Linked DNA regions of Danio rerio. The protein of the gene in region 3 purifies or fractionates together with the protein of the main gene of each other region. This does not show direct contact. Links are inferred from orthologs where the notes say so. Each region holds a gene or a part of one and is shown on either strand. Other genes may lie near its edges.

What was found.
Region 1: the proteins of gosr1 (region 3) and napab purify together in Homo sapiens (affinity purification with mass spectrometry; 3 studies listed by BioGRID and IntAct, with this or other methods). This does not show direct contact. The link is inferred for Danio rerio from reciprocal best matches to the Homo sapiens genes GOSR1 and NAPA.
Region 2: the proteins of gosr1 (region 3) and bet1 purify together in Homo sapiens (affinity purification with mass spectrometry; 3 studies listed by BioGRID and IntAct, with this or other methods). This does not show direct contact. The link is inferred for Danio rerio from reciprocal best matches to the Homo sapiens genes GOSR1 and BET1.
Region 4: the proteins of gosr1 (region 3) and bet1l purify together in Homo sapiens (affinity purification with western blotting; 3 studies listed by BioGRID and IntAct, with this or other methods). This does not show direct contact. The link is inferred for Danio rerio from reciprocal best matches to the Homo sapiens genes GOSR1 and BET1L.
Region 5: the proteins of gosr1 (region 3) and stx5a purify together in Homo sapiens (affinity purification with western blotting; 3 studies listed by BioGRID, with this or other methods). This does not show direct contact. The link is inferred for Danio rerio from reciprocal best matches to the Homo sapiens genes GOSR1 and STX5.

What each region holds. Positions count from the first base shown.
Region 1 is NC_133193.1:47,639,270-47,642,786, reverse strand, and holds part of napab (N-ethylmaleimide-sensitive factor attachment protein, alpha b), read right to left. Parts: intron 1,636-3,517; coding exon 1,519-1,635; intron 1,284-1,518; coding exon 1,237-1,283; intron 72-1,236; coding exon 1-71. UniProt on the Homo sapiens protein: Required for vesicular transport between the endoplasmic reticulum and the Golgi apparatus. Together with GNA12 promotes CDH5 localization to plasma membrane.
Region 2 is NC_133194.1:43,532,853-43,537,082, forward strand, and holds the start of bet1 (BET1 homolog), read right to left. Parts: upstream 2,808-4,230; 5' UTR 2,682-2,807; coding exon 2,663-2,681; intron 16-2,662; coding exon 1-15. UniProt on the Homo sapiens protein: Required for vesicular transport from the ER to the Golgi complex. Functions as a SNARE involved in the docking process of ER-derived vesicles with the cis-Golgi membrane.
Region 3 is NC_133190.1:27,282,414-27,285,930, reverse strand, and holds part of gosr1 (Golgi SNAP receptor complex member 1), read right to left. Parts: intron 3,459-3,517; coding exon 3,347-3,458; intron 3,244-3,346; coding exon 3,153-3,243; intron 2,435-3,152; coding exon 2,327-2,434; intron 1,650-2,326; coding exon 1,558-1,649; intron 1-1,557. UniProt on the Homo sapiens protein: Involved in transport from the ER to the Golgi apparatus as well as in intra-Golgi transport. It belongs to a super-family of proteins called t-SNAREs or soluble NSF (N-ethylmaleimide-sensitive factor) attachment protein receptor.
Region 4 is NC_133200.1:8,372,455-8,376,717, reverse strand, and holds the start of bet1l (BET1-like protein), read left to right. Parts: upstream 1-1,459; 5' UTR 1,460-1,509; intron 1,510-2,138; coding exon of another isoform or gene 2,139-2,408; 5' UTR 2,409-2,411; intron 2,412-2,575; exon of another isoform or gene 2,576-2,637; 5' UTR 2,638-2,708; intron 2,709-2,869; 5' UTR 2,870-2,907; coding exon of another isoform or gene 2,908-3,144; intron 3,145-3,228; coding exon of another isoform or gene 3,229-3,384; exon of another isoform or gene 3,385-3,416; intron 3,417-4,263. Other genes in the region: kcnj11l (potassium inwardly rectifying channel subfamily J member 11, like), read right to left, coding at 1,252-1,459, 2,139-2,408, 2,908-3,144, 3,229-3,384. UniProt on the Homo sapiens protein: Vesicle SNARE required for targeting and fusion of retrograde transport vesicles with the Golgi complex. Required for the integrity of the Golgi complex.
Region 5 is NC_133189.1:9,153,343-9,156,859, forward strand, and holds part of stx5a (syntaxin-5a), read left to right. Parts: intron 1-913; coding exon 914-981; intron 982-1,108; coding exon 1,109-1,164; intron 1,165-3,517. UniProt on the Homo sapiens protein: Mediates endoplasmic reticulum to Golgi transport.

The DNA.
Region 1 (3,517 bases), on a different chromosome or scaffold from region 3:
ATGTCGACCAGTTCAGTCTCATAAACTTCAGCAATGGTGACGTGGTGTTTTGCTGCGATTGTAAATCGGCCCTGAAAGTTGTGAAACACAAAACAAAGAAAGCACAGTGTTTTAGAGGATCCTCTAGTGGGCTGTTTTCATTTCACCAAGGCCAGCAACAAACAGGCAAGATAAAAACCACTGATATTTCACCTAAAGGAAACGACTTGACTTGCCTTATCTCAAATTTCTATCTAGTTCATCTGTAAATTCTTTCAATGAATGGCTTTTAAAAGTAACAGATTATATTGATAACACTAACAAAAGCACAAAGGCAATGTCTTTTTTTAACGTTAATAAGCAGCTTCTAGTTATTAACTGCAAATCGTGGCAAAATTTTCCAAAACAGCATTTCATCTTTAGCTTCTTAAACATCTAGAATAAAGTAATAAAGAATTTTACAATTTTAGTTTTGATTTAAAGAGTTATATATAAAGTCTATACAGGACTGAAATGTTAAATGACCTATAAAATTACGTCCTTTTTAAAAACTGTTGCTTAAATTTTTAGATTTTTAAGCTATAACTACAAAAGTTCTTTTCTTGATCCTAAATGTACAGAATGTCTTTAACAGAGAGTTTCATTTTGAATTGAATGTAACCTTTTTTGTTTGTTTGTTTTATTGTTGAGCTATAAAAAAGAAAACTGAAATTAAACATTTCAATTAAATGTCGTAAATGAATCAGCTTTTCAAAAATGTAAATATTGTCTCTCCACAAATAGAGGACAATGCCCAAAAACGCTTGACTTGTGTATTGGGCACTGAACTCCATTGTGTAATAAACGTGATTGACTGTTATAAGTTGATTATAAAGCGTATATATTATTTTTTTAATCATACTGCATTAGTTCATATAAAACAATGTTTTTTTTTTTTTTTTTTATTATTCATGACAACTATAATGCAATACAGTTTGCTATATTTACATTCGGCCCACAGCCCTCAGTCAAGTTTGGTTTTTGGCCCTTCATAAGAAAAAGTTTGAGCACCCCTGGTATAGTGCATACTAAAACACATGAATGATGTTACTATGCCCTCTAGTGGCGTGTCAACTAACTTGCAGCCATGTATATATTGAACAATTTCGAAAATCGTTTTTTACAAATGAAAAGAGTCTAAATTATTGTGAAGCACACAAGCAGCTCTACTAATATTTAAACACTGTCTACAAACTCAGATTTCAGAAATAGTCTTACCATGTCTGTATAAATCTCAATGGCCCTGTTCAAGCAGTTTATGGCCTCTGTGGAAAGAATGACAGTCAGCTTTCAGCTTTCGATAAAGTGCATATTTATATTTTATATATATATATATATATATATATATATATATATATATATATATATATATATATATATATATATATATATATTGAAATGACTGTGCATGGATGCTTATTGACTGATAGCCAATACTAGTTGCTGGCAGCTGGATGTTTAGAAGTGTAAAACAATGAATGTGAAGTCAGGAAAATATACCTTGGGGGTCTGACTTTTTGAAGGCATTGCCGGCATCAATGAAGTTTGTGGCTGCGTCATGTTTACTCTGCATCTGCAGGTGTAGAAGAGCCGCCTGAGAAAAAGCGTTTCCTGCAGCTGACAAACACATTCACACAAGAGAACACAAACATTAGTGTGGACGTTAATATTTTCACAACTTAAATATGTTTTGATCCAGTTATACTTTTAAATGAAGTCAAATCAATACAATGTTTATTACTGCAAACTTTAGGTTTGTGTGTCTTTATCGCCATCTCTGTTTGATATGTGCAATTGCAGATATTTGCAGAACTATATTCGTTATTTGGGTTGAGCATTGGCGAGGACGAATGTGATGTTCTGCTGTGTATATTTATAAATTTTCCTTCAGCTTAGTCTTTGATTTATCAGAGGTCACCACAGCGGAATGAACTGCCAATTATTCCAGCTTATGTTTTACACAGAGGATACCCTTCCAGCAACAACCCAGCACTGGGAAACACCAATAAACTCTCACATTCACACACACACACTCACACTTCGGCCAATTTAGTTTACCCAATTCAACCAGTGACCTTCTTGCTGTGAGGCGACAGTGCTAACCACTGAGCCACTGTGCCGCCCTGCTGGGCATATCAAGTTGTTAATCACAGCATTCTACATCTTGACAGTTTGACCAAATAAATAATTTTATTCTGACCAGCTGAGGGTTAGGGTTAGAATGCTGGCTAGGTTTAGTTGCATGTTATTATGCATAATTACTTGTAATTAAAATAGTAAGGACATGTAAAGTGTGTAAAAAGGACACCAAATAAAGGATTATAATAAATTGTGCTTCATACATATGATGACTAAATCTAATAATGGCCAATTAAATCATATCAAAATAAAATGTGCAACTTATAATTGCTATAATCTGAAATTGTTAGTCTCAACAACATCAGCAGTGCATGACTCTAGTATATATGACTCAGATCTACAAGTGCAACAACACACACACACTGCATATTTGCATTAATCTCTGCACACATCTCATATGTTTAAACTGTTATATTTGTGTTTATGATTTATATAAGAGCAATATCACACTCATAGCAGTGCGATATGGCTGTATATCAGCACTGGTGGGAGGCGTGCGTTGGCACGAGGCCGCAGGCCTTAGCGTCCCACCAGTGCTGATATACAGCCACATCGCACTGCTATGAGTGTGATATTGCATTTATACAACAGTTCCACGGCACAATTAAAAAAAAGAAAATCAAACACAGAGTCTAATACCCTTTTGTATGAGGAACTACTTTCTTCCACCATTCATTCACATCTGCAGCTGACGTCAGAACAGCAAAAGACGTTACTAATTCACCAACGTAATTTAAGAGTTAGTATTTGAATGATTCTCTTTAGCGTAATTTCTACTGATGACAAAATAGCTGATTTGTGCTTACATTTTAAGATTATAAGGCTGAACATGGCATGAAATGCCATCTGTCTCCAGAGCTTTCTCCCTACAGTCTATTACAGTCTACAGTATTTCTCTGTTGCTGTCGATGTTGTGACGGGTGCCTGGCGTCCCGCATTTACCCGGAGACAGGGATGAAAAAAAAAGAAGACAAACTATTTCGCTCTTCCTATCGGCCTTTATGCGTTTCTCCCAAGTGCTGTCGACTACATACATGCCAGTTGACGACAATGAGTAGGCAAAAGGAAAAGAAAAAGACACACTCAAACATCCCTCACAAATAAAATGTTACATTATTGAAATAAAAGAATGATACAGCAGTAGAGCGACCTGAACTGAACTGTTCTCCCATATCTCCCACATCTCAAAGGTCCTCTTGAAGGGGATATGACATTTATACATGATGCATATCAAACATGAAGCCACCGTTACAATATCACAATAATTAACCCTGAAAAAAGCAGCTTAGTCACTACCAGACTGCTGTTGTGTTTGCGTTAAGGAGGGACGAATCTGAATCCACCTTCTTATTCGCAGTTT
Region 2 (4,230 bases), on a different chromosome or scaffold from region 3:
GAGGGCCACCTTCTCCTGTACAAGAAACATTCAGGTCAGGTCAAATCCAACGGAATTTAAAAAAAAAAACATTTAAAATCAAGTATTTAGTACTAAAAATAATAAATCTTATTACAGTAAACTGAAATGTTGCCTTAAAGAACTGGTTCACGACAAAATGAAATCTGTCAATGTTTACTCGCCCTTTAAATGTTTCAAACTAGTAGCTAGTGTTGTCACGATACTGGAATTCAATACCAATCGATACTGAAGCTTAAAAAAGCATCCATCTCTTGCTAAGATTTAAACACTGTTGATTACGTTCTTAAACACAGCTGATTTGCCATTGTGTTCACATGCTCAACAAAAATGACTGTGATTGGCAGTGAAGGTCATTAGTTCACCAATCTCACTGCTGTTCACTGAGTGTAAACACAGATACAGACACTGGAGCATTTAAAAGCCGCAATTCATCAGCAGATCGCTTGTATGTGAAGTTATAGACAAACCAGCTGATTGACGTGACTTTAAAATGCTTGTGTCCCTGTATCTGTGTTTACACTCAGTAAACAGTGTTGAGTTTGGTGAACTAATGACCTTCACGGCCAATCACAGTCATTTCTGTTGAGCATGTGAACACAACAGCAAATCAACAGTGTTTAAGAATGGGCTCAACAGCGCTCAAATGTAAGCAGGAAATGGACGTTTGTAAAATTTCAGTACCGATTGGTATCGAATTCCAGTATTGTGCCAATGCTACCTGTAACCATTCACCTCCATAGTAGCAAAAACAAATACTATGGAAGTCAATGGTTACAGGTTTTTAGCTCTGTTTAAAATTTCTTCTTTTGTGAAATATAAAAATTGTTTGGGGTGACTATCCCTTTAAGAGTAATTGACAAGTATGCACTGATTTGATTGATCAAATATTCTCTAAAGTTGGAAGTGAATTTGAAAAACCTAAACAAATAAGATTGAAATGTTCATCAGAAACTATTTAAAATCGAAAAGTAAAAACTCTGGATAAAATCTTGATTGTCTACATGAGACAAAATGTTGAAATTTGCAAAATAATGAATGTTTTTTTAAATTAAAAGGTAGATTATTTGCTTGGTGCCTCATTTTATCAAGTTTAAAATGGGTTTTATTTGCTTTATCAATCATACTTTACTGTTCAAATTAGTGCTGGGCCGATAAACAATATTATATCGAATCACAATAAAATTTTTGTCAATAACAATGACAATCTCTTGACTTTTCTACTCTATATTGATCTAAGAGCAAATCACACAGCAGAAATGTGCAACAATGGGAATCCAAAAGGGTGTTGATATTAGAGATGCACCGAATTTTCAGCCACGGAAATTTATTGGAAAAAAATGTTCTGCCATCTATTGCAGGGGTTCCCAAACTTTTCAGCCCGCGACCCCCAAAATGACAATGCCAGTGACTCGCGACCCCCAATATCATCTGAGGTTGTTATAAATACAGAAACCTTGCATGCAATGGTGCACACACGCCAATACACCCAGGTTTATTCTTTGTGTAATTTTTTAAAATGTATCTCAGTGCTGTAAATGGGCCAGAAAGTTTAAGCAGGTATAAAATCAATCTGCTGCATCCGATGCTATTGCTGTGTCTTTAATATTATGTAATTACTACAGGGGTCACAATCCAATAGAACTAGTAACTATAAGTTATTATATAGTTTATAGTAACTCTAAATGACTTTTTTTCTCTTCAGTAGGTTACAATATGGTAATTCCGGTTTAATAAAAATAAATAGATGTTTGGAAATCCCCAGGCGACCCTTCCTTTCATTGTCCTGCGACCCCTCAAGGGGTCCCGACCCCTAATTTGAGAACTACTGATCTAATGGACTCTTATTTTTGTGGCTTCAGTCAATGTTAAAGTACTATTTTAAATCTGGAAGCATTGCCAACTTGTATTGAAATATATGATGTTATGCTTCATATGGAAAATAATTAACGAGTTTGAATTCTTTTTTAATATCGCCCAGCCCTACTTCGAATAGAAGGTTTTTTAATTTCAGCTTAGATGTGTCATATTTATGCTGTTACAGTATCTCGTGTTGTTCATACACAGAAGTTGCTTTTCTGTATGATATAAATATATATGTAAACATGATTAATAAATAACGCCACTGACGTAAAGCTGGTTTTAAATTCACACATTCGAACTTTCTCCTTAATAATATGATTTCAGAAAAGTATTATTTGGAAGTTCTAAATAGGGAAATTATATTAGCAGACTATTAAAAACATTGTTCACAGTAAATTATATAGTGTTGTTTTGTAGTCATACTTACACGTGATTTCAGTCCGAATATTCAAACTAGCATAAAGGTAAACAATACAGGGAGCTGTCACAGAACAAATGTTCGAATATAAAAACAACTTCACCTCAATAACAACGATGGTGAAATAGAGAAATAGGAGTTGCTAGTTACTGCAAGAACGTTAATAAACGTTATTTATCCATTTAACGTTAACGTTAATTCTCCACACCTGGATTTAACGTTAATGTGTGGGTGATGATTTGGTCATTCAGAGATTGCTTACTGTCATAAACTGTGACCAATAACGTTAAGTTTTCTAATTGAGTTGAGATTTTAGCTTAGCATAAGCTTCAAGCAATACGACACATAAAAACGCAAACTTACCCAAACCAGCGCGCCTCATTGTCAACCCAGTAATCTATATGACGTGGATACGATCACTGCAGTCTGTAAAATAATGTGACAAATATTCGCTAATGTTGATATTTAGAGAATCTGTACTTTCCCCCTCCAACTTCACAAGCGCCACGACACCTCTTACGGAAGCCGCAGAGGATTAAACGATACGCGTTTAAGTTACATGGGCTTCTGGGTACTGAAGTTTTTACTGCGAGTATTGCGGTTAATTCTTGTCTTTATTTGTCATAATTCTAACATTTTCTTCAGCAAACTGTGACTTCATTTCTCAAAAGTAAGTTGACACGACTTGCAGGGTTAATTTAATTGAAAAATTGCAAACAGCTGTAGACTTTCTCACAGTTCAGACTCTAAGACAAGTCAGATTTTCAAAAATCTGTGACACTATTATTTATTTTATAGAAAATGTATAGACTTTCTCTCAATTCTGAATTTATCTTCATTCTGAGGTTCTTTCAAAGAACTGTTTTACTTTTTATAACTGATAGTACAAAGCCTTATATGGGAGCGACATGGTGGCTCAGTGCCTCACAGCAAGAAGGACGCTGGTTTGAGTCCCGGCTGAGTCAGTTAGCGTTTCTGTGTGGAGTTTGCATGTTCTCCCTGCGTTGGTGTGGGTTTCCTCCGGGTGCTCCAGTTTCCCCCACAGTCCAAAGACATGCGGTACAGGTGAATTGGGTAGGCTAAATTGTCCGTAGTGTATGAGAGTGTTTGTGAATGTGTGTTTGGGTGTTTCCCAGAGATGGGTTGCGGCTGGAAGGGCATCCGCTGTGTAAAAACTTGCTGGATAAGTTGGCGGTTCATTCCGCTGTGGCGACTCCGGATTATTAAAGGGACTAAGCCGACAAGAAAATGAATGGAATGAATGAGTTTGCATGTTCCCCCATTGTTAGTGTGGGTTTCCTCACAGTTTAAAAAAACTTACCCAGACTTTAAAAGAAACAGACTATGAGCAAATGAGTTTAATAAACACTGAAAAGTGTTTCACTGACTATATATACACAAATATTTTTTTACATTTAATATGCAAATTTTTGAATATTCATTTCTTTTTCAACAATATAAAATTGAGCATTTCATCTCAATGTTTGCGACGCGTTGGCACAGTGGGTAGCACGATTGCCTCACATCAAGAAGGTCGCTGGTTCGAGTCTTGGCTGGGTCTGTTGGCATTTTTGTGTGGAGTTTGCATGTTCTCCCCGTGTTTGTGTGGGTTTCCTCTGGGTGCTCTGATTTCCCCCACAAGTCCAAAGACATGCGGTACAGGTGAATTGGATAAGCTTAAATTGGCCATAGTGTATGTGTGTGATTGAGTGTGTATAGGTGTTTCCCAGTGTTGGGTTGCAGCTGGAAGGGCATTCGCTGTGTAAAACATATACTGGATAAGTTGGCAGTTCACTCCGCTGTGGCAACCCAAGATTAATAAAGGCACTAAGTCAAAAAGAAAATTAATGAATGAATCTCAGTGTCAAGAAATGCTTCTAAATCATTACATTTACACACATTTCAATTTTGTGTGGTGTGGCATTATTTAG
Region 3 (3,517 bases):
GAGATGGATTGAGGTCAAATCCAGTTTGAAGGCCAGTTTATTTTGACCGAAAAAAATGGGTTCAGTGGTAATTGCAAATAGCAAAATAAGAGTTTTTCTCATCATATATGGTACCACAACATCTATTTCAAGGTGCACAAATGAAAAAAGCGGCCTGCAGAGGTGCCAGAGCATTGCAGCTCAGATCAATAAGTCATTATCCAATCCTGCAGTCAAGATCTCAGGGTTACAACCAGAACTACATCACATCTGTGCCTGTAGATCTCCAAAGAAAACTTGCAGGGCCTTTGTGCAGTGCTTTATCAGATAGACCACAATGACACTGTAATATAACCTCATCTCAGTTTTCACATTTTGACATTTAATTAGCAGAATTCAATTTTTTTTTTTTTTGCAAAGATCAGAATGTGAGAAACAGATTTCTACTATTACTATTGTTTACTTGGTTTAGTATGTATATATATATATATATATATATATATATATATATATATATATATATATATATATATATATATACACATATACACACATATATATATATATATATATATATATATATATATATATATATATATATATATATATATATATATACATACATACATACATATATATATATATATATATATACACACACACATATATATATATATATATATATATATATATATATATATATATATATATATATATATATATATATATATATATATATATATATACATACACATATATATATATATATATATATATATATATATATATATATACACACACACATATATATATATATATATATATATACACACATATATATATATATATATATATATATATATATATATATATATATATATATATATATATATATATATATATATATATATATATACACACACATATATATATATATACACATATACATATACATACATATACATGCATGTTCCTTTTAATGCAAACTTTATAAATGCTTTGGCTATACATTTCTAACATTTGTCATGCCAATCCGCTTGTTAAGTGTGACGTCATGCGAAGCGGCTTCCGGGTTCAAGCGCTCTATTCAACTGAATGGGGGACTCATGAAATGGTAATAATAAACGTTTACAAAGCGATTTAATGCTTTCAAAAATCACGATCGCAATATATATATCCATGCCTAATATCCGATGGCCAGAAAGTTATTTTTTTTTATAAATTGTTACAATTTTGGTATTTGATATGCAGCAAGCCCGGAGATTGTTGTGTACACTATGACTTTATATAAAATTAACTTTAATGTGTGATAGGAACAAAACGTGATCATAAACGAATGATTTCTCCACTCAAATGAATGGCGGCTTGGACCCAGAAACAGTATTACATACGTCACAAACACGTCACCACTTAACAAGCGGATAAAACAATTATTAACTTGAAACTCAATTCAACTCATCGGCATAAATCATTTTTATGGTGAAAATCATTCTGTGTTTTTAAATATGCTTAACTACACATTAGATGAGGTTGGTTTTCAAAACTGCCACTTTTCAGACAATTTAAAAGAACACTCACTCAATGTCTTTTCTCACAGATCCCAAAAGGTCCTCTCTCTCCCTGATTGCCATGAAGTTTGATTTGGTTTTATGAAATTCATGTGTGTAGTCCTACAAAAGAAAACAGGGTACAAGAGGTATTAAATTTAGAAGCCAGGCAATGTTAAATAAAGGAAATTTCTTATTATCTTTAAGATAAAGTTTTCATAAACACTACTGTTCAAAAGATAGGGGGTGGTGCTTTTGTTCACCAAGGCTGCATTTATAAATTTTTTTTTTGGCAATTCATTTAAAAATATAATTTATTCTTGTGATGGGAAGTTGCATTTTCAGCTTCACATCATCATTGTCAAAAATCTTCAAAAATAATTAATAAAAAAAGACACTGTGCTCAAGAAACAACTATTATAATACTATTATTATAATAATTTTTATTTAAATAATATTGTTGTTATTAATAATATTATTGTTATTGTTATTTTTATCAGTACTAAACACATTTGTGCTGCTTCATATTTTTTAGATGAATTTTTCAAGATTTATTTTATGAATATAAAAAAGAAAAAACAAATTGCTGCATTTATTTAGCATATAAGCTTTTGTTACATTATTAATTTAAATAGTTTTAATAAATTGAAAGCATTCTTGTTAAATAAAAGTATAAATTTTTTTGAAAAAATCTGACCCCAAGGCTTTTGAACAGTGTTACATAACAATAGTTGCCTGGCTTTTATGAACAATCATGTAACTGCGATTTATTTAAAGAAATAAGACGTAAAAAAAGTCACCTGTAGGATGTCTCTGTGTCTCTGGAGAGTGTGCATCAGAGCAGCGTTCAGAGACGTTACTCCCGGTGTGCTTGTATATTCAGCCATCTTGTCATTCACCCCCGTCAGCTTTAAAAAGTAATAAAATGTGAGAGCAAATAAGACACTGATCAAATTAATAATGTTAAACAAATTTCAACTAATTGCAATTCAACAATTTGCTATCATTAAAAAATATTACTGAAATCTGCTGTAAAGATATTGCGAATGATCACTAAAAATATCATTAAGTATTAAACAGATTTGTTGTATTAGTCTTTTCTAACTGGGAAGAATATCAGACAGATAAGTTTTCTGTCACAGCATGATGAAAAATATTTTATAATAAACACTGCGGATGATCTAACTATCATGATGTGGGTGTTCTACACAAATATCAGTGTGGTTTGTATGTAACTTGTATATAATATTGGATAATATTTCTAATCTGACACTGCACAAATTATAATGAACCAAAATAAATATTTTTCTAAACATTAACGCATTTGCTTTGCATTTATTAAATAGAAAATAATATCTATTTTTTCCCAAATTGAATTTAAAGGGTTAAAATTCTCAAAATAAATTCTTTTTTGGTAGTTATGATTAAGACTGAAGTTATTAAGAAGACCAGTCAGTGTAAATAGAATAAAATTTTGATATGCCATGTACTTATGACTCTCTTTTTGATTTGTAAAACAAGCAACGAAGGAAAAAACCTAAAAGGTAGACTGACATCACAATTTAGGTGCAGTGTGTAAACGTGTCCTATATACTGCACCAAAAACTGGCATACTGAAAGCCTTACTTTTGCAAGTAACTGCTCAATCTCCACAGACATGGTCTCAAACATTCTGTCCTGAGTGGAGTTGCAGAGCAGAGGTGTTGTATCGGAGCTACTGAAAACAGAGGGAAAAGAATTGTGTTATTACCTCCACCATCTTTTTATTATTTATCAAACATCAAAATTTCCTGTACGAGTTACGGTAGCGACAGTCACACCTGTCTCCTCTGCGGCCGTCCCGAGAGCTGCTGTAACTGGTGCAGAGCTTACTGAAGGACACAAGCTTCAGGTCCAGCTCATTCTCCAGCTGCCTCGCCTGTTTCCGCAGGTCTGTCAACACACAATAAAACGAGATAACATTCTGCACTTAGAAAATGATGTCATGGATT
Region 4 (4,263 bases), on a different chromosome or scaffold from region 3:
AGTCCTACTTAAGGTAATTTTTTACATTCTTCAGCAAACACTGAGAAAATAGGTAAACATGTTTTAAAGCATTGTGTAATCATTATTATCAATAATAAAAATGTCTTGCAGGTAATTCCAAAATAAGTGGCATTAATACGGTGAAAATTTCATAGTAAAATATTCTAGAAAGCCTAAAATTATGACAGATAAGGCATTAGAAGTAGAGTATGTTAACAGGGACACCAATAGTCCGACATTAATAAGATTAAGACAATACTCTTAATAAGAGTCTACTATGTCAGAACTTAATTTTCAATTAGTAATATGCATTACAGGCCTGTAGCCAGCCTGGTGAAGGGTGTGGATCTTTTTTCTTAAAAAGTTGACCATTTTGCATTTATTCGCCTAATTTTTTTCTATGTAATTATGAGGTTAAAATAAGTTGCATTTTTGTAACATTTTAAGCACTATTTTTTTGCTGGATTAGCTTGTTTGATGGTCATCATAACCACATTTTTGATGTTAAGGTTTACATCAATTATCATTTACATCATATACATCAATTGCATCATTAGAAAAAATAGGAATTTGTTAAAGTTTTAAATTAAAAACTTTAGCCTATTGTTATTTAAATATCATTAACATAAAAAGCAAACCGTCCCGCACATTCAACTTTCCTCAGTCATGCTGACGCAACAACCAACACAGGATTCCACATGGTGTTAAAGCCTTTTTCCATGGATTATTTTCACAACTTATTATGACATAGTAGTTATGGGCCTTTGTCAATGAGGGGTGGGTCTTCTGAACCACCTGAAACCCTCCCCTGGCTACAGGCCTGCTTTGTTAATAACTTAATTTAGACAACTTTAAAGGCAGCTTTCCCAATATTTAGATATTTTTAAACCCTCGGATTCCAGATTTTGAAATAGTTGCATCTCAGCATCAATGACAAATGTATTTATTCAGCTTTCAGATCATGTATAAATCTCAATTTCCCAAAATTGACACTTATGATTGGTTTTGTACTCTAGGGTCACATATTAGAGAGCTTATCTATGATAATCCCTTAAAAATACTTTGGCTTTTAAACAAAACAATTACATTAAGCAGACTCTATTCAATCAAACATTCATTCTCCTTCGGCTTAGTCTCTTATTTATCAAGGGTCACCACAGGGAAATAAACCGCCAACTATTCCACCATATGATTTATGCAGCAGATGCTCTTCTAGCCACAACCCAGTACTGGAAAGTAGACTCTATTCACCTTCTAAAATGACAATGATCTCCAGATCTTCGGTAGCCATTGACTGCGCTGAGAGCTCGTACAGTGGACTCCCTCTGTCAATGGTGTGACTGATAATGAGTGGAGAGACGAGGAATATGCCGTTGCTCCTGAGAGGGTTTTCCACCTGGATATCTAACTGACAGACGGGAATCACTTCGCCCTCCGCTGTCACTGTCCGCCGAATAACCTGAGGAGCAAATATCAAGATCAGGATGGAATCAAACTCAAGAATATCTGGTACAGACATGATATATAAAGCATTTTTGGCTCACACTTCACATAATTTGTGTTTGTTATGATAATCAATGTGTATGAAAATCACTCTCCATGTCGAATTTCTAAATTCTTGCATTCAAGATGCCTGAATAGATTTCCATTCTGCCAAGTAATGGCAGAATTTTAATTTTAAGGTGAACTGTCCCTTTAAGGCAGAATTTATACTATCTTTAAAGCTACATATCTGCCATCATTTTGACATCAAATGCCTTGCTTTTATGTTGTCTGAACCTGGTGATAAAATAATGATTAAATAACCTTAGTTTGAAGGACATATTAAAGATCTATAGCAGTGTTTCTCAACCACGTTCCTGGAGGACCACCAACACTGCATGTTTTGGATGTCTCCTTTGTCCGTCAAACCAATTACAGGTCTTTCAGTCTCTGCTAATGAGCTGACGGTCTGAATCAGGTGTGTTTGGTTAAGGAGACATGGAAAATGTGCAAAGCGTGTGGTCCTCAAAGAAACGTGGTTGAGAAACACTGATCTAAAGGACTAAAATGAAGAACTCTCTAATAGAAGGTTCTGTGGATGTTAAGGTTCTTCAATGATTTAAATACATCAGTAAAGAAATAAACACATCTGTCACCTGCAGCTGTATGTTGGCAGAGATGATCATGCTTTTTCTCAGATCTCCAACACGAAACATCAATGTCGGTCTGCCATTCCTTGGGGCAATGACTGCGTTGCGGGAGAAGATGAGGGTTTCTGCTCTGCGGTTGGCTTGAGCTGTCTTCATGAACACACAGCCAAGCATGATGGCGTTGATGATCAGGCCCAGAATGTTCTGGATGATGAGGACTATGATGGCCAGCGGACACTCCTCTGTCACCATTCGTCCTCCGAAACCAATAGTTACCTGGTATTACAAATGCTTCATTATCTTACAGACGATTTAAAGGGGTCATGAACTGTGAAACCTAAAAATCACCTAATTTTTTTTTTTTTACATATAAGAGCTCATAGTTCTCTAAAAATATCCTGTAAGTTTTAGAACTGAACACTTTGTGGTTCCTCTAAATACAGATTATATTGAAGGCAGTCTGAAGATAACAGATTCTTGAATGTTCTACTCTATGATGTAATAGAGTGGATAAGCCCCGCCTCCACAGAAGATTGACGTCAACTTCTACTTCACATCCTGTTCAGCGCTGTTAAGGTATAGTTTACCAAAAATATTACATTGTTTATTCTCCCTCAGTTTTGACAACTAGTATTACGTTTCAGTCAGTCCAATCACAAGTGGATGACATTAAATAAAAATGTATGCGGAGTCTAAAATATTTAGATTACTGAAAATGCATGTCATAATAATTCTAGATGGAAACAGAGTCATATCTATCCAGATTGATCCTTACCTGCACTTCAATGGAGAACAGAAAAGCAGAAGTGAAGGAGTGAATGGATGTGACGCACGGCACAGGTCCGGGTTCATTGGGATCTCGAGGTTCTAGATCTCCATGAGCGAATGCCAGGAGCCACCACACCATGGCAAAGAGCATCCAGGAGCAGAGGAACGCTGAGGTGAAGATGAGCAAAGAATGCTGCCATTTCAGGTCCACCATGGTGGTGAACACATCTTGGAGAAACCGACCCTGAGAAGCAATAATCTCTTATGAACACTGCAACTGAGTCAATTGAAACTTTTCTTTAGCCTAGAACTGATAGGAAAATCTCACCTGTTCTCGAATATTCTTGTGGGCTACATTACATGAGCCGCTCTTGGTGATAAAACGTGCCCTTTGTGACTTTGGCCGGATGCGGCTGGGTTGTGCATCTTCAGCGAGTCGCGTTAACAAGAACCCATCAGGCAAAAGACCTTTGCGGGCCAACATTATGACAATTTGTGGCCAATTGGTGCTCCGCACTGTAGAAGGAATTTAAAAAAAAGAACTAAAATATACAGTAACACTAAGGGTTTCTTGAAAAATAAAGAAAAAATTATGAAGTACATTTCAGTTAATTTAGTTTATCTTTAATTCTTTAGCCCTTTTTACAATGTAAACAATATACAAAGCAGTTTGACATTACATTTTATCATTAATTCATCATTAAATTTAGTGTTTTGTTTTACTTATACTGCTAAAAAAATAATAATAATAAATTAGGTTTACAGTATATATGCATTGAATTGCATAATTTTAAAATCTTTTACCTAAAGGTAACGTTTTGCCTAATAATAATGCAAAAGGTTACATTTATAAATTACATAATGAATAAGGTTATAATAACATTATAATAAAGGTTACATTAATAAATTATATTATTAGGTTATAATAAATAAAAATCGAAGAATTTTTGATGTAACTCGTAATATAATAGTTAAAGCTTAATTTTAATTATTTTTTTTGTTTATTTTATGCATAAACAGATAACTCATAAATTGTCTTTTGTTAGTTGCACAGATATCAAAGCATATTCATAATTTTAAACAATTACATTTATATTTCTTTTAGTTTTTATATTTAACTAATTTAAAATATAATTATTTAATTAAATAAATGGTAATCGTTTATTAAGGGAAAAACTGGCATGAAACTGTCTAATCACGAGCGACAATGCTATTTTGAATAGTTTAGTTTCACTCAAACATAAAATATATACATGTATTATTTCAAATATATACATATATTATAACGTTTTATCATAATTTGGTTGTACATCATCAAAGAAGCGCGTAAGCTCATCGATTATTTTACATATTTCAAAGCAAT
Region 5 (3,517 bases), on a different chromosome or scaffold from region 3:
ATACACGTTTCTCACATTTTTCAAAATGCCTTCATTTGTTTTTAAAAGTTACTAGAAACTCTTATAGGTTTGAAACAAGTAAAGGGTGAGTAAATAATGATAGTTTTCAGTTTTGGGTCAACTATACCTTAAAGAGCAACAGAAATTTCCAGAGAAGAAGTTGTATAAGAAAGAGAACTTGTGTATAGAGTCTGCCTAGGGATTGGAATAAAACAGCGTTTTAGAATGAAAACGATACATGTCCACACTGGCGTTTCACCTAGCGATTCTGAACAGCTCTCTGTCCACTCTACACTGCTGAAAACGCACATCACCTGACCACACACATACACTGGCATGTGCTGCAGCGTATGCGTGTGACTGAGCTCCAGGCAGTCAGCGTGCTTTTAACACACCTCAATATTTTTGGTGTCTGTTAAGTTGTTAATATCAAAATGAAAATAGACAGTTTCTTATATCACGTTTTCATTTTATTGTTAAGATAGTGAAACCGTGTAGCCAGGGTGTTGTGAATGAGGTTATAAAGTACACTGATCCCTTTGAAGATTTACCCGACGTGTCCTTCACCATCACTGGCCCTTTTCCTTCTGTAATTAACCACAAATTATTCTTGGTAGAATTAATGTGAGCTGCTCTTTTCCACATGTCATAGGTGATGAACATGAAAGGAAATTTAGGCGATGAATTGAAATATACTAGTATTCTAAGATCTAAGTTCTGATATCGGAGTTAAACAAGCTCATCTAAAATAAAGACAGTTCCTTTGGCAGCATGTGCTAAAAGGGATGGTTCACCCAAAAATTTTACCCCACCCGCTATTTACTCACCCTCGAGTGGTTCCAAACATTTGAGTGGTTCCACGTACTACATTTGCTGGCATAACTTGTCTTAATTTGTTTTTCTGTCTTTTCAGAATGGAACTCACTCTAAACCTGCCAATAATGCCCTTAAACAGCGCAGTGACTTCACTCTCATGGCCAAGTAAGAGACATTCAGATCAATGTTTCTCTTTGGATTTTGCCTAGTGTATTTTTACTTCAGTTCAACTGCGTCTTGTCCTGCTTGAATCTTTGACCCCCTGACATCTGGTGTTGTTTCTTTGTAACAGGAGAATTGGGAAAGACTTGAGCAACACATTTGCTAAGCTTGAAAAGCTTACAATCTGTGAGTAACATATCAGTAAAAAAGTGTACAGTGTAGTTTGTGAAATTAATTAACACAGTACACATATTCTGTGCATGTCCTTCCTTCATTTTTCCTTATAGTCTACAACCCGCACATGTGTTTTGACAAAAAGAATAATAAAGTATATAAAGAAAACTTTGTACTTAACTTATTAAAAATTGGTATTTTAACAAATCTAAAACTTGTATATCAGTTCTTTATGTTGGTTCTTATGCAACTCTCTAAAATGTAAAAAAAAAAAAAAAAAATATATATATATATATATATATATATATATATATATATATATATATATATATATGCTCTCTAAGATTGCATTTGTTTATTTGCAAAATTCAGTAAAATGTACAGTATTTAGCTTTTTGTTTAAATTGGGTGTCATCTGATTAAATAATACGTTTTTTAATTATTGTGAAGCAAAGCTATTATTAATTTAGCACTTACAGAAAGTATTCTTACATACTGATTTGCTGAAAAATAACATTTCTGATCAATGTTGAAAATAGGTTTTTGTGGAAACTTTTTTTAGTATTCATAATACTTAATAGAAAGTATAAAAGAAAGTATTTTAACCAATATTTTGTACTACTATGAATCACTTTACAATCACTGATTCAATTGTATTTAATACGTTATTGTTAAATGTGCGTGCGTATGTTTTTATATATATATATATATATATATATATATATATATGTATGTATGTATGTATGTATGTATGTATGTATGTATGTATGTATGTATGTATGTATGTATGTATGTATGTATGTATGTATGTATGTATGTATGTATGTATGTGTGTATGTATGTATGTGTGTGTGTATGTATGTGTGTATGTGTGTGTGTATGTGTGTGTGTGTGTGTGTGTGTATGTGTTTATATATGTTTATATATATATATATATATATATATATATATATACACACACACACACATATATGTATATGGATGGATGGATGGATGGATGGATGGATGGATGGATGGATGGATGGATGGATGGATAGATAGATAGATAGATAGATAGATAGATAGATAGATAGATAGATAGATAGATAGATAGATAGATAGATAGATAGATAGATAGATAGATAGAGGGTCATTTATATGGATACACCTTAATTAAATGGGAATGGTTGGTAATATTAACATCCTGTTTGTGGCACATTAGTATATGTGAGGGGGCCAGTAAATAACTCATGAAAGAATAAAGTTATGTTAAAACCAAGCACACCATTGTTTTTGCTGTAAAATTTCCCAATAAGTTTAATAAGATGTATCCATATAAATGGCCCACCCCGTATGTATATATGTGTACATGCACTACCTGACAAAAGTCTCGTCGACGATCCCAGTTTTAAGAGCAACAAATAATAACTTGTTTTCTAGTTTGGATCATTTGGAAAAGTGGCAGAAGGTGGATTTTTCAGATGAATCATGTGTTGAACTGCATTCCAATCATCACAAATACTGCATAAGACCTAATTAAACCTGCATGGACCCAAGATTCTCACAGAAATCAGTCAAGTTTGGTTCAGTATGGGGACGTGCGAGAGATCTGCAGAGTGGATGGCAGCATCAACAGTCTGAGGTCCAAGACATTTGCGCTGCCCATTACAAACCACAGGAGAGGGCAAGTTCTTCAGCAGGATAGCGCTCCTTCTCATACTTCAGCCTCCATATCAAATTTCCTAAAAGCAAAGCAGGTCAAGGTGCTCTAGGATAGGCCAGCCCAGTCACCAGACATGAACAATATTGAGAATGTCTAGGGTAAGATGAAGGAGGTGGCATTGAAGATGAATCCTATGAATCTTGATAAACTCTGGGAGTCCTGCAAGAACACTTTCTTTGCCATTCCATATGACTTTATTATTAAGTGATTTGAGTCATTGCAGAGCTGTATGAATGCAGTCCTCCTAGCTCATGGGAGTCATACACAATATTCATTGTTTTTCCACTGCACCATGACTGATACTGTACATTATTTCTGTTAAGTGACAAGACTTTTGTCTAAGCAAAGTCAGACCTTACTGTCCTAATTAAATAATTAAAGATCAAGGCTTCATCATATTATTATTATTATAAAATAAGTGTAATCTAGAGGCCTTTGCTTTTCATGCAAGTCATGTCTGAATCCAAATGATCAACTGGAAGTCAAGTTATTAATTGTTGTTCCTAAAACTAGGATAGGCGACAAGACTTTTGTCAGGTAAGCTATATATATATATATATATATATATATATATATATATATATATATATATATATATATATATATATATAAATATAAATTCATTTACCAACAAAAAAAAAATCCAATCTTTGTAATGTTGAC